4 linked regions of the Nothobranchius furzeri genome follow. The protein of the gene in region 4 purifies or fractionates together with the protein of the main gene of each other region. This does not show direct contact. Links are inferred from orthologs where the notes say so. Each region holds a gene or a part of one and is shown on either strand. Other genes may lie near its edges. The genes, in order: prdx1, sod1, park7 and prdx5.

What was found.
Region 1: the proteins of prdx5 (region 4) and prdx1 fractionate together in Homo sapiens (co-fractionation; 3 studies listed by BioGRID). This does not show direct contact. The link is inferred for Nothobranchius furzeri from reciprocal best matches to the Homo sapiens genes PRDX5 and PRDX1.
Region 2: the proteins of prdx5 (region 4) and sod1 fractionate together in Homo sapiens (co-fractionation; 3 studies listed by BioGRID and IntAct, with this or other methods). This does not show direct contact. The link is inferred for Nothobranchius furzeri from reciprocal best matches to the Homo sapiens genes PRDX5 and SOD1.
Region 3: the proteins of prdx5 (region 4) and park7 fractionate together in Homo sapiens (co-fractionation; 3 studies listed by BioGRID). This does not show direct contact. The link is inferred for Nothobranchius furzeri from reciprocal best matches to the Homo sapiens genes PRDX5 and PARK7.

The regions. Positions count from the first base shown.
Region 1 is NC_091751.1:68,306,432-68,310,459, reverse strand, and holds the start of prdx1 (peroxiredoxin-1), read left to right. Parts: upstream 1-1,207; 5' UTR 1,208-1,354; intron 1,355-3,923; exon of another isoform or gene 3,924-3,961; 5' UTR 3,962-3,996; coding exon 3,997-4,028. UniProt on the Homo sapiens protein: Thiol-specific peroxidase that catalyzes the reduction of hydrogen peroxide and organic hydroperoxides to water and alcohols, respectively.
Region 2 is NC_091750.1:63,537,633-63,541,309, reverse strand, and holds sod1 (superoxide dismutase [Cu-Zn]), read right to left. Parts: upstream 2,470-3,677; 5' UTR 2,391-2,469; coding exon 2,319-2,390; intron 1,514-2,318; coding exon 1,417-1,513; intron 1,284-1,416; coding exon 1,214-1,283; intron 1,090-1,213; coding exon 975-1,089; intron 856-974; coding exon 748-855; 3' UTR 518-747; downstream 1-517. UniProt on the Homo sapiens protein: Destroys radicals which are normally produced within the cells and which are toxic to biological systems.
Region 3 is NC_091743.1:63,722,285-63,725,344, forward strand, and holds the end of park7 (Parkinson disease protein 7 homolog), read right to left. Parts: intron 1,407-3,060; coding exon 1,320-1,406; intron 982-1,319; coding exon 821-981; 3' UTR 542-820; downstream 1-541. UniProt on the Homo sapiens protein: Multifunctional protein with controversial molecular function which plays an important role in cell protection against oxidative stress and cell death acting as oxidative stress sensor and redox-sensitive chaperone and protease.
Region 4 is NC_091750.1:53,604,220-53,608,535, reverse strand, and holds the start of prdx5 (peroxiredoxin-5, mitochondrial), read left to right. Parts: upstream 1-1,497; 5' UTR 1,498-1,803; coding exon 1,804-1,815; intron 1,816-3,164; coding exon 3,165-3,299; intron 3,300-3,387; coding exon 3,388-3,519; intron 3,520-3,654; coding exon 3,655-3,693; intron 3,694-3,780; coding exon 3,781-3,845; intron 3,846-4,123; coding exon 4,124-4,229; 3' UTR 4,230-4,316. UniProt on the Homo sapiens protein: Thiol-specific peroxidase that catalyzes the reduction of hydrogen peroxide and organic hydroperoxides to water and alcohols, respectively.

The sequences.
Region 1 (4,028 bases), on a different chromosome or scaffold from region 4:
TTTAATTAATTAGCTGTGCGTTCTCCTGTCCTCTGTCCTCCGGGCCACACACACACACACACACGGAGCTGACTGTCTCAGCTGTTATTTTCGTTAAGGAGTGTGCACGTACAGCATGCACGCCTTGTGCACGAGCCTTCTATTGAAGCTGCCATTACGCTTTTGGCCTGAGGGGGCAATCGTGAGCATAAAAATTCAAAACTCCGTAAAGTCCCTTTAAACAGAAGAGTGAGAAAAAAATTCACCCCCCTCAGAGTTGTCATGAGTGTAAACTAGATCATTTAAACCAAAAACATGTTCTGGTACCAGGCTGTAAACATGTTTATTTCTGCTGTGAAATTGGTATTTTTAACATGGGAGTCAATGAGGAATTGCTCGCTTCTGACACCAGCCCCTAGTGGATGAGGGTGGAACTGCATTTTTTGGTACTTCTGGGTTGGACTCAATTTTTGAGCCGCATTGTGGGGGCTTGGTACCAAGAAGGTTCCTGGGGGCACCAGGTTGGTGATTCTGTTCTAGATGATAGATAGACACCACCAGCAGCTTAAAACGTAGCTGGTAGTGTTAAAACTGGTCTATTCATTTCTCCAACTGGTAATATCACCTCAGTCAATGTAGCACTTTCACTTACGCCATCGATCAGCTGTTTTTATCTGTGTCCTAAGGTGTTTCAACAGTGTGACACTTCCTCTTTTCAAAAAACTGCTCCACCGAAAAGACTGATGTTCCCTGTTTCAGTAAATAAACGAGAGGAAAGAGGAAATGAGAAACGAACAGACTATGTTCTTGAGAAAATGGTTTCACCGAAGTATCATGTAGTTATTGTCTAATGATGGCCTAAATCTACAAAGATAAAAAATATATTTCCCTAAAGTGAAATTTCTCAGTCATCGCGGCAGAGGGCTCACAGAGAAACGCATATATTACACGAGTCACTCATGACCCACTGGTCTCTGACAGTGGCATGGATGTTTTATTCATTGATGATTCTGGATATAATCTGTTCGGTCATATGAAGGAAAAGAGCAGCAAGGAGGAACATAACCAAAACCAGTTCTCTTCAATTGTAATAAAATCAGTTTCCTTAAACGTGGAGTCTGAAATAAAACTCATTCTTCCTCCACGTGTCTGGTTTGGAGTTTCACAAGAGCATTTACAGAATAGCGATAAGGAAAATGCAAAGTCATTCTACGTTGTGTGGACCTGAGGAGGATGGATGGAGAAGTGATCCGAGCTAGAGTTCTCGTTCTCCCTCTCATCTCGCGAGACGTTGGCGGTGGTATAAAAGTCTGCGTCGAGCCTCTCGGGTCGTGTACTACTCGTTGTCCGTGGAGGCTTTGGTTTCTTATCTCAGGTATGTGCCATAAAACGTTCGGTTTTAGGAGTTTGTCTTTCTTATAGATTAGTTTTTAGAATGTAAGGCGTTAAATTAGTGTCTGAAGTGACATTTTGGTTCAACAAGTGGTTTTTTTCCCCCTTGTCTAATTCTCAAATCTCCTGCTACTCGTTTGGAAAACTCAAGTGTTCACGTTTAAAGGCAGCTTCTCTAGGCTAAAGGCAAAGTTAACGTAAATCTGTGGCTTTCACCGCCATAGTCGTACGTTCCAGCACCGTAATGAACACCTTGTTCGTGACTAAAAGGTGAATACGGAAACACCTGAAGTGGAAGTGCTGCTGGTAACCTGGCCTGACCTCATGCTTTTACATCATATAGGTTATGGAAGTATTTACTTTAATCCCTTTTGAATCCACAGCATAAGATCTAAAAAGTTGGAAGAATCATTAATTAAATTTAAAAGCGACGCCTCCAGTGTTTATGGCTTATGTTTACAGGACAGAAAGATTATTTATGAGCGAATTTTCAAAAGATTTATTGGTTCTATTTTAGCAGTCAATAGTTAAACAGAAAAAAATTATCATGTGAATGTGTGTGTGAATGGGTGAATGACTGATTGTGTTGTAAAGCGCCTTGGGGGGTAGAAATGCCATTAACACTGGAGGCGTCTCAAGATAAAAATCACGAGGCGCTTCACAAGAACAAAAATTGTAAAAATATAAAAAAGCATTTAGAAAATGTTTAAAATATATTTAAAATGAGCAAAAATAGGCAATTGTGATTAAAAAATGTTAAGAGAGAGAGTGAACAGGAAAGAGGGAAACCAGTGGATCCTGAGGAAGGTGGAATAGGTGGGGAGAGCAGAATAAAGAGAGAGTGGTGAAGAAGGTCATACAAAAGCCAGCTTGAACAAGTGAGTCTTCAGCTGCTTTTTAAAGGAGACCACTGAGTCCACTGATCTCAGGCTCAGGGGGAGAGAGGTCCAGAGTCTGGGGGCCACAGCAGCAGATGATCTGTCACCTTTGACCTTTAGCCTGGTGCTGCACAACCAGTAGGCTTTGATCACTGGACCTCAGGGACCTGCTGGGGGTGTAGGGACTAAGAAGATCACCAATGTAAGATGGTGCTTGTCCATGTAAGGCCCTGTAGACCAGAACCAGGATCTTGAAATGAACCCTGAAGTTGACTGGCAGCCAGTGAAGCTGGAGGAGAAGCGGGGGGATGTGGGTGTGTTTGGAGGACTTGGTCAGAAGCCGAGCACAGGCGTTCTGAACCACCTGTAGACGGTTCAGGGAGGTTCGTGGAAGGCGCTATATCAAATACAGGCCATTTACCATTTGAGTAAAATAATGACCTGGTTTTGTGGGTTGGCTCAGATCCCAGACCTGTCAGTGCAACTCTGATTCCAAGTAGGGATGAGCGAGTACACCACTATCTGTATCTGTACTCGGAATGGGCGTGGCATAACCCGGAAGTGGGTGTGGTTTACATCAATATATTATTTTAAGTTTGAAATTGATATGGAATGATCAGAAGTTGCTATGTGTATTGTTTATTTGAAAACTATTTACAGAGCAGCCTCAGACTAGAGATTAAATATTTTTGATCACAATAGTAAAGGAACTATTACAAAACAAGTGTTTCAATAAAATCAGAACATTAATATTTAAGTGCATGGATTAATACATCTGAACTCATGCAGCAGGAACTAGGAAATATGAAATGCTAGAACCAGACACAACTTTATGTATATTTTTAATTTAATTTGATTAAACTGATTTTTTTCTTAATGTTCTTGGCATTTTCCCACACAAAGTTAAACAAAACAATGTTGATTAAGGTGTGTGTGTCTGAGAGAGATTGAGAGGGAGAGAGATGGAGGGAGTTAAAAATTTTTTAAAAAAACCCGTAGTGAGTGACTGATGCAGCACGTCAGCTCTGTCTTGTCAAATGCACCATGGAAGTTACGAAAAAAGTAACTTTAAATATTCAACCGAAAAAGAGGCGAGCTGAAGAAAACCTAGGGAAAACTGAAGAAACGTGAGCAACAGTGAAGCAAGCACAGCGAGATCCGTTACTGTCTGTGTGTGTGTGTGTGTGGATGAGCCGGACGGACTGTGCTCCCGGCCGGCTAGAGAGTTGTGTGTAGGGAGGGGCGGGCGCTCTATGTGACAGGCCAATCAGAGTGTGAAGACAGTCAGTTACCCAATGAGGATTTTCCTTCAGCACGATTACAGATATTTACGAGGTTTACTCGTCTCATGCTCGTATTCGTCAAAAATGCTTTATCCGTACCGGATACTCGTCTGAAACTAGTATCCGGCTCATCCCTAATTCCAAGTTAACCAAATATACTTATCAGAATATAATTTCTGCCTAATCTGAAAACGTTTCACATGGAAGATCTGTTGCTGCTAGATTAGAGCTTTGCTTGGATAATTGATGGCTTTCATCAAACAGCCCATCTCCGTCATCATTCTGATCATCATTTAAGGTGTCTGCTCATCTGTTTAGTGTTTTTGTAACATTACACAACTAGATCGGTGGTTTACATGTGATACAGTTGTCTACAAATGGTTCAGTACCAGCTCTAAGTCTGATGGAGCCTTTGTTTTGTAAACGCAGCCGTTTCCTTCTGGTGTAATCCCGTCTGACTGAAGATGGCTGCAGGTAATGCCAAAATTGGACAGCT
Region 2 (3,677 bases), about 9.9 Mb from region 4:
AGCAGGTTCGATTCTGTAATTTGGCAAATTTTTTGCATAATTAGCCAATTTTGTCAGAAATATTACTGAATAAATTTTTTGAACATTGCTAAACAAAAGTATTTGCTTTGGTAGGACTTTGGATAGCTTAATATCTAAACTAAATTAGGACTCCTGCTCTGAGCTTTGAGGAATAATCCATCAAAATCTAATTTAACCCTTTGATGAATGAATTATGAAATCTTCAACCATGATTTTTTAAACATTGTTTCATCTTTAGGTGTGAATGAAACAAATTTCAGCAAATAGTAATATTGTTAATTTACAAATAATTTATTACATGTCCAACTCAGTGGACAGCGTGCATTCTGAACATAAAATATGTTGGCTTGGCTTACTGAAGTCCAAATGAGGGGCTCAATGCAATAAAATCTACAACAGCTGTGCTTAATAGCAAAAAATAAATAATTTTGAATATCTGTCCACTGTAGTGACCATTATGCAGCAAAGGGTTAAAAAAAACACAAGACTATTTACATCATTTGAGGCATTTATGTTTTTTAATAACACATCTGGAAGTTTGTGCGCTACAAAGTCTTGAGTCCTAGTCAGTGGACATAAACCTACTCAAACAATTTAATTAGAAAGGAAACTGGGCAGAAAACAGGTTAACAGAACGCCACAAAGTACCGAACTGGACCGTTTCATTAAGTAGCCGTGTTGGTCTCTTGGGGAATATAGCTTATCCAGTGCTTTTACATTGCAGATTTACTGGGCGATGCCAATAACGCCACAGGCTAGACGAGCTCCAGCATTTCCAGTCTTCAGGCTTTCTTCGTTTCCTCCTTTTCCTAGATCGTCACGCTTCTCGTGGATCTAAAAATAAGTAGTTTTACATAAGCTACATTTTTATTGGGGACAAATTTAGACTAAAATCCTTAAAAAAAATAAAATTAAACAAAAAGGGAGGATCACAAGCCCAGATGAAGACGTACCACCATGGTTCGACCAATGATTGAGAGAGGTCCTGAGAGTTTGATGACGCTGTCTGTGATGTTTATCTTGGCAACATTCCCTTCAGCAGTCACATTCCCCAGGTCTCCAACATGTCTGATAAAAAAAAAAATTGTATCAGATTATAATATATTACAGTCAAACTTTATAAAAACAAAAGCATATCAAATACAAATAAGTGAATAGGTAAAAGTGATCCAGCTTCTCATGAGGGACTCGCCTTTCTTCATCTGCAGGACCGCCGTGATTCTTGTCAAAAGGATTGAAGTGAGGCCCCGCGCTAATGCAACCTGGTAATAAGTAAAGGTAAATATTACAACTCTGGGAAGCTTTTATGACAGCAAGCAAGTGCACCTAGATAGGAAATGTTAACAGTTAACTGAAAATTTGGGGGGAAATGTGGAAAAACATGCAATTTCTCACCATTTGTGTTATCCCCATATACATGGACGTGGAAACCATGTTCACCATCAGCAAGGCCACTGATTTCCCCAGTCACTTTAACAGGGGCCGATTCATTCTAGGGGACACAGGCGGTCATGATAATGTAAGTAAATATTATCACGCACGTATAACAGAAAAAAGTCAAAGAACTTTGCAGGCAGGAATAAAAATACTACAGAAAAGTTTAGATACGTCATGGTCAGACGGTAGAGAGTGACTCAGCAGAATTTTAGGGAGGAAATCGTGTTTGTTTTGACTTTAATGGCTGCCTCTGTGCAGCGATGTCTCCGAGCTGCTTTGTGATGACAAAAGAAGAAGAAGCTGCTAAAAACAGGAATTATGAGTGACTGTGGTGAGAGATCCCTCCTGGGGTCACTGAAGTCAACATTACCGTTGGTGAGACGACTGAAAATTACGCAACAAGCGTGTCCACTGTTAATTATTACCATTCTGCAGACTATAAAAGGTTAAAGGTTATATTTTAACTAAACATTTTTCCATTTCAACCACGACAGCCACGTCGTGCCAGCACGAGTAGAAATGTTTGAATTCAAAGTGTTATCTAGAACTTGCTGCACGCGCACCTAACATTTCTACGGTTCGTTGAGCAACTAGTTATCTAATTGCATATGAATTGTTTTATAAACTAAGAAAATCAGAGCAGATGTATCAAATATTCCACTATCTGAAAGTCTGAGGTGTAAATATGTCGCTAACTGCCAAGTTAGTCAAGAGCTCCTCTAAAAATGGATGACATACTTATGTTAGCTAGCTTAGCACAAGACAACTACGGCATCCGTATAGTGTTTAATTAAGTTGAATTTTATGTCCTCTTCGCGGACTACAACCTCGTTCACTTCGTGCATACTGTGACATCTTACCTCTTGCTCAAAGTGAACGGTCCCGGCTGTTTTGTCAGCTCCCTTCAACACACACACAGCTTTCACCACCATCTTTGCAGCAACTCACGAGTAACTATCGCGTCACGTGCCCCCTCGAGAGTCACATAAGAACGTCTCAAGTGGGCGGGTTAATTCAGTGATAGCCAATGAGAAAACGCGTGGTTTAATTGGCTGGCAGGAAGCACGCATATATGTCGATGATCAACACATTTGTCTGCGTTCATGTTTTGGCAGTTTCGTTCTTTAAATGTTATTTATTAATAAGCTTAGTTTATAGTTGATTAAATCTCGTATGATTGTAAAACATACAAAATAATTATAAATATTGAAATTACTCTTTTTTAGTGACTGCGATAGATAGATAGTTAGATAGATAGATAGATAGATAGATAGATAGATAGATAGATGGATAGATGGATAGATAGATATAGATAGATAATACCTTTATTAGTCCTACACTTGAGAAATTTCATCGTTGCAGCATCGACAGTACAGTCAGAAAAGCAGGTAAGATTAAAAAAAACATAATTTTATTTAAAAAAAAAACAGTAATATTAAAAAAAACTAACAAGAGAAAACCACAATCTTCCTCATTCAACAGCCAGCTGCAATGGCCTCATAAAATCTAAAGCCCCATTCCCACCTGTACCGGGTCGGCCCGGGCCGGGTAGCATAGGTTGTTTACATATCTGGGTGGCCTGGAATTTTCCCGGGCCAACCAAGGCTCATTCTCGGCCCTCTTCCCGAGGGGTACTGCTTCAGGCCGACCAGGGCCAACACACCCACTGCTGACAGCAAATTCACACCTTCCATTAGAGCAAGCCTCTGATTGGTGGGTAGAATCAACCCATTCACACCTTCCATTAGAGCAAGCCTCTGATTGGTGGGTAGAATCAGCCCACATGGGCTTAAGGCAAGGATGTGTGGAATCAACCGGGCCAGGCTGGGGCCGACTGGGGCTACCCGGCCCGGGCCGACCCGGTACAGGTGGGAATGGGGCTTAACCGCTGCTGGGAGAAATGGTCTTCTGAACCTTTCCCTCAGCGGTGTGGATGCAGCAACCTGCTAGTGAAAGAGCTATTCAGTGCTGCCAGAGTCCAGTGCATGGGGTGGGAGATGTTATCCATCAGAGAAGATAGCTTGGCCACCATTCTCCGCTCAGTCACCACCTCCACTGGGTCCAGAGGGGCTCCAAGAACGGAACTGGCCCTCTGGACTAAGCGAGTCTTGATTAATTTGTACCGTATTTTTAAAGTTATTTGAATTTTTTACACTACTTATGCAGAAAAATAACTGACTTGTATTCTTTTCTCAGAATTTAGTTTGGGTAAAACTCAA
Region 3 (3,060 bases), on a different chromosome or scaffold from region 4:
GTCAATCCAGTCTGTTGGAGACTGCAGCGAACTTTACGCTCGACACTCTGCGAGCTAATCTCGGCTAAACTAGCCCTGTTGCGGAAACACTCCCCCACTAATGACAACGCACATATGCAGATTGGTGCGGTGCGACGAACCATGTGGTTTGTTTATTTGACCGTGACTACCGCCGCGTTAACAATAACTGGCAGCAGGTTTATCTAATAACTAATGCGGGAAAGAGGTGCGGGTACTAAGCCACGCATTCACGTCTGTGAGTAAAAGAGAAACCCCAACAGTCCTACCTTTCTACAAAATCCCTTCTCTTGGTCTTTCTTCTTGTCTGTGATGAGGACCGTCTGGATTTTCGGACACACCACGCGCTGATTACCAAACACCGCCCACTGGCTAACACGACACGTAATTGGTCAATTACAACTCAACTGCAGACGAGCCGAAGCTCTTCATTGGTCATAAAAGCTGCCAATCTTTCTGGACTCGTCTTCCCGCGTTCCTGCTGTTCAGCAGCCTATATTTAGGTGAAATAAAAACAATGACCTGCAACTTCAGATTGCTTTATTTTCAGGTGGCACAACAGTAGCGGTCAAAACAATCAAGTAATTCGTGAAAATAGTTGTTTTATTTCAGATTTTCCTTTAGTACCCATCTTACTGTAATAAGGTGCATTTGACATTTTAAAACAAAACATGTTAGAAAAGAAATCCTCATGTCTAGTTAAGAAAATGTTTCACTTTCATGTCCAGTGGCAGAAGACCTGACTCGGGTATTGTGGGTTTTTTGTTAATCAGGCAGTGCTTTTAGCACAGTTGTAAATAAATTAGTCTTTCATAATAAGAGGAGCTTTGACTTGAGCTGCAAAGTCACCCCCCAAAACTTCTTCCACAATGGCCAGGGCAAACTCAAAGCTGGTTCCTGGCCCACGGCTGGTGATGTAATGTCCATCCTTCTGCACTCGAGCCTCTGAATATTTATAGTGGTCTAAAAAAAGACAAAGAGCAATACCATAAGGATGATGGAGATCCAAAAGCTAGCAGCAACGCATTTCAGATCTAATAAGTCCTCCAAACACATCCGCACAAAGATAACTAGTCAACATTTAAATAGACCTGGTTCTTACACGTTCTGTCAAAATCCTGCACCCACTCTCACCTCAGAGCGGCGGGCGGTGCTCTCCAACTGCTGCTGACATGATTCTCCGAAGGCAACTAAAAGCTATTACAGCACCATCTGCTGCTTTTCACCAACACTTACAAACTCTCCCACTGATAGCTGTAATAGTTTATTTAAAAGATGCTCTAATATTTATTGATTTTTACCTCCAGCCATCATCTTCTCCTTCATGGCAGGATGTGTGGTTACTGTGCGGCCGTAGCCGACGCCATGGGCCAGGAGAGCAGTAGGGCCTGAAGAAGTGCGAAGCAGATTAAGGTTTCTTTTATAACCTCCTGTTAGATAACACACATTTTCTTTTCATAGTGAAAAAGACAAAAGGCTGCTAACTGGAAGTATCTCCTCCTTAAGCTCAGCACAGAGAAAAACAGATGTATGAAATTCCACCGAATGTTGCATATTTAGATTATGGATTTCAGTAAATAATAAATGAATGAGACACATAGAAAATATCTGATAACACTTGTGTCCTAAAAGTGTCCTCAACCCTATTGTTGGTTCTAATAATAAACTCACAAAGTGTACAGTTTCAGGTTTTTGCTAAAGCATCTGCAACACGTTAGAGAAAAGAAATAAGGAGAGGCAGAGGACGCAGACGATTGCTGCTGAATTAACTTTGGTGACGTCTCCGCACTGCTCGTCCAAAACCTGTTAATAAATAGAAAGTTATTGATCACACTCCTTTGGCTGCCTTCCAGTGCAGTCTCAAGATTACACTTTCCTCTGGCAGAACAACAGACTGCCATTCAAAGCTAAACGACTCCTGTTACGAGTCTCCACCCAGTTAGGGACACGAAAGAGTCAGACGGTGGAGAAAAAACAAGACGAATACCACGTTTTTACTATTTGAACACTGAGGAACAAGATTGCAGTTCTGAGGAATCTAGTTGAAAACGTGCCAGGTTAAGATGTCGGAACAATGAGTCTTGCAGCGAGCACGCTTGCCGTTTCCATTTAAGAGAATATTCCTGTGAGGTTTTCACTCGTTTCTAGGACACCTTTCAATCTGCTTTGCTGCACTGGTTCCCTGACCCCATTTCAACTGTATTTCATGTGTCCTTTCTCTGCTTATGAAAGCTGTCAAATACAGAGGGTGCGGGTTTACTCAGGGACACAATCAAGTACACAACCTTTCACGCAGAATGACAAGGAGGGTTCAACCTAAAAAGTGTTGCAAGAAGAGAGTGAAGTATTTTTCAATATTAAATTCTCAGGTGACAAAGAGTTATGGTTTGAATGCCTTGCGACTATTCTGCTGCCTCCGTTCACTCCTTTCTTGGGTAAAAATGCCACATTAATGTTTTATTTCCACAAATAACACAAGCCCAAACATGTTGTGTACTTGCTAATAGTTAGCGTCAACAAGCCGAGACACACTCCGCTTTTTTTTGCTGCAAGATCAATACAGCCTTCCAGTCGGCAGCCATAAGGGATGAATTAATGAATGCAAATTTCCAAAATGACGTAAATCTGTGTGGCTTTTTCTGGTCCGAGTATTCCCCCATCTATTTTTATTTCTGCGGCTAATTCAGAATGAACATAATGGGAAATTTTTCTTCAAATTACTAATACGGGAAGCAGGCAAGAAAAAGGGTTAGAAACAGTGGAGTTGCTCAGGTTAATGGGAGACATACAGGTATGCTGATGGTCTGTTATGGTGACTCGCTAGTGGCCCCATCAGCTTACTGTCAGAGGAACATCTTCTGTCTCCATTTGCTAATATTTCTGAACTGAAAATCATTGTTTCACGCTCAAGTCTTTTGTTGTCTCTATATCAGAAAGTAAGGCTGCACCACATTGCGATATTAACTACCGAGTTACAGCGTGACAGCACAGCCACAAAGTTTTTTGTCAAGTTTAGCTCCCCAGCCCCAGTGTGTGTGTGAG
Region 4 (4,316 bases):
ACCGAACTGAGTTTTTTTGACGTTGCTTTATTTTGTGTGTGATCCTGGCTGTAAATTTCTGTGTAGGCTTTTTTTTTCATTTAGATGAAGCCATTTGATGTCCTTGTCTAAACTTGTTCACATTAAATTCACTGTGAAAAAAGTGAAATCTTCCGCTGTCTGGTGGAACAGGGAGTGGATCCTGTAGGTGCTTTGTGCTGTGTAATAAATGGACACACCGCCACATGTCAGTGGGCTCATCAATACGTGTACATTTATGTGTTTGTGTTGTATTTTTACATTTGAATACGGTCATGACCACATATCACCTCTGGACGTTGCTTTGAATTTGAAACAAATGTGTAAAATGTTTAGTTTGTGTCAAGAAGCTAAAAAGTTCCATAGTTACTAAAATGTAACTGCTATTTTATAAAAGAAACTGAAATCTGAAAAGTTGGAAGTAAAAAAGACAGACATTTCTGAGGGAAACATAACGGGTGTAGTCCAATTAGAGATCACACTTGTGTGAATAATGGTCCAGTACCATGTCTGTAAAAGAAACTGAATGGAACAGAAAATAACTATTTTCTCAGATCAAACAAGTTTTAACTCAACAGTGGGAAAAAATGACTTTTGTAAACTTACAACAGATCATTTGACTTGGAGCTTATTTTATCTATCCCGCAAGTTTCTGTGAAGCCCTCTTTCTGCCACTTCAAAAAGACACGGTCAATTATTTTTTATTCATGATTTTAAATAAAATCACTGAGTCATTACTATAAGCATCAAAATCACATTTGTGATTCAACACTATTATGAGATGCACTAATAATTATTACAAGATGCATTATGGCTGTCATAATTATTAGACAAAATGATTACTTTCAAAATCAATGAGGAGGTTATTCTGAAAATAGTCATAAGTATTGCATAAAAAGTAACAATTATGAATTTGAAAATAAGTTGTAAAACATTCACATTTAGTTCATATAAATTTATTACTTTCCTGACCATAAACTTCTATGTTATATTTATTACAATAGTCATAATTTCTAATAAAAATTAATGAATAATAAATATTAATTTAGAAATATTAAAAAATGATTAGATACAAAGCCTGTGGTGTAGTTGTAAACCCGATTTTTGAGATAAAAAATTATAACTAGGATTTTCAAACTCAAAACTATGATTGTTTACAACCATACAAATATTCCATTTACAATAGAATTGCTTTGATATAGTCCTTTAACATTAATCAGAGTTGGTCAAAATAGGTATTTACTTATCGGAGCTGTACCAAACCCAAATCTGTGCACGTCTGATAACAATAATAATAATCAAACACATACATTTTATCGCGTAAGAGTGAGTTTAGTGATACACATGACTTAAAATCATAATAATTGACTTTGCTTATCAGATACCACGTGACCGTGTTGGTAAAGGGCTTCCGTAGTTTCCCTTGCGTTTCTTACAGAAGTCTGCAAAAGCCCTTGCAAGTGTATGTTGTCTTAAATCAACAATTGTTCCGTTTTATGCCCCCTTTAGCTAAACCAGTCCAGCCAGACCTTGGGTTTCCTGCTTAGCAGATGGCACAGTAAATAAAGACTTAGCCATCAGTTTGCAGGATAAATTTAAGTCCTTCCGTTCTAGCTCAAAGTAGGACGTCGCTGCTGTGTCTCAAGAGATAGCGAGTGAGTCAGACGTCGCTAAACACCAGGGACTAGCTTAGCTCCACATTCCAGCAGGTTATGCTCTTCATCACAAACTCTCTTCTAAAAAACATATAGTATCCGGCTGCTGCACTTCTCTCCAGTCACCAAAATGCCGATTCAGGTAAAAAAAAATAAGCTAACGTTAGCTAGTTGGTTTGTCCTTCGAGCATTCGGCAACGGTTTATCTTCATTATGTTTGTATCTGTAGCAGTCTATGCTAATGAGCCGCCATGACAGCAGTTTGCATGAATTTAGTTTATTGTTTGATTAAATCATAGTAGCAGCTCGTCGTGATTTGAGCACACCTCTTTCACCTATATCACTGAGTTGACTTTACATTTGATAAGATCTGTGCCATCACTCTTTTATAACATTGTTCTAAATTATTGCTGCGCATGTTGCAATTTTACTCCCTGAAAGTGTTCGGACTAAGTGTGTAAAGGAGAAATTGTAATGTTAATCCGTAATGGTAACATCTCTTCACGGTGAAATTTGAATTATTTATTGAAAAGTTTGTAAAACAGGCGTTCATGTTATTTTATGCAAATTTTCATTTATGGTGATTTTTGCCATCTAGTGGCCATTTTACAGAAACGCTCATTTTTTTTGCTTTATCTAAATTTCAGTTTACACTAGAGCTGGACGATACAGAAAAAAAAGGTGTATCGATAAAAAATATTATTGATCGATATCAATAATTATTGAAAACTATATGAGAAATGTAGAAAATATATTTAAGTGCAGCCCTGACCATTTTATGTAATCACTTAACAATAAAACAAGTTGGTTGCGTTATCAGACTTGGTTTTTATTGATTCTCTGCACATTTTGCAAACCACTGTTGTTTGTTTTTTTGTCAGACTTGTAAGAATGAAAATATTGCCACACTGGTGAACTATTGTAATCTTTTTTGGGACAATTTCTTCCACCTCTCCTTGCTGCAACATCTCCTCACATTGCTGTCTGATTAGGTTTGTAAGGGGAGGGCTTGGTGATGAAGTGTGCTTGGGTCTGTGCTTTTGATCAGTTGGGTGCAAGGAATAACTAGTATGAAGCTACCCGATAGGCTATAATGGAAAAAACAAACTTTTTCAATTTTTTTCTGTTGAATCACACGTCTATTGATCGATATATATCGTTATCGAATAATTGTCCAGAACTAGTTTACACACAGTTGTTATTATGTTCTCTTTCTGGTTAATTTATCTTATAAAAATACATTTCTTCTTACATTCTGTTATTGAAATTTTTTATCTCTGATTCTGTTTTTTGCTATTGGTTTCTGCAAACATTTGATGTTTCAGTTCAGTGTTGCAAAAAAGGGATTTGCACCTGTACATGTTCCTTCTATTTTTTTTTAACTATTAATTCAAAGTTTTTCATAAACAAAAAAGTTTCATCAAGTTATTTCCAGAATTTCATTCACTGTGACATTAGGAAAATAAGTAACTTCATCTCATTCATCTTCAGGTTGGTGAATCTCTTCCTGCGCTGGAGGTCCAGGAGGGTGAGCCTGGGAATAAAGTGGCAATGGATCAACTCTTTAAGGGGAAAAAGGGGATTCTTTTTGCCGTGCCGGGAGCTTTTACTCCTGGCTGCTCTAAGGTGAAGCAACACTAAAAACGCTGCATGTCCCAACCTCTACGGTGAGTTTTGCATCAGCTGACTTTGTATTTCATGTGTTGCTTTTCAGACTCACCTCCCAGGTTTTGTGCAGCAAGCTGAGGACTTAAGAGGTAAAGGGATCCAGGAGATAGCATGCATTTCTGTCAATGATGCATTTGTCATGGCTGCATGGGGAAAAGAGCACGGAACAGACGGCAAGGTATAAGCTGCAAATTTACATTTAGCATCTATTGCAGAAAAATCTACATGTTGATAAGACTTGTATTTTTAAAGTAATTTAAAATTCACATTTATATAACAGATTTAGAAAAATTTTGATTGCTTTTATGTACAGGTTCGAATGCTGGCTGATCCCACTGGAGCATTTACAAAAGTAAAAATGAAAAGATCATGTGTTTGTCAGGTTAGCATCAAGCCTCGTGACTCTGTTCTCATCAGCACTTTTGTTTCTGCTCACTAGGCAGTCGACCTTGTTCTTGACAGTGATCAGATTGTGCAGGTACTGGGTAACAAGCGTTCCAAGAGGTAAGAAAAGACTGTAACATGAGTTTGGAGCTTTATTTTTCAGCTAAAGGTTTTCACAAATCACTTGAACAAGAGTGTGGTGTCGGATATTAACCAGGAGTATTTGCACCTCTGCTACTTAGCTTTTTTCATGGTGCAGAGTTCAGTGATAACATCAGTATTTGCATAACAGCTTGAGGACAGAGTGTCCTGTGTTTATTATTTTGAAGCCACCTATTTGCAGATATTTTAAATGTCATAAATTGTATTCCAAATCCAGTGTGCTCTTTGTTTTTCAGATATGCAATGCTGGTGGAAGATGGGGTTGTGAAGAAGATCAACGTGGAGCCGGATGGCACTGGACTGACCTGTAGTCTCTCCTCCAACATTCTAACTCTGCTGTAGGCTTATGCTGAGCTTATTAAACCAAAATTACTGACCTTGAGTTGTAGTGAAAGTTGCACCAATAAAGCTTGCCTTCAACTGTTGCAT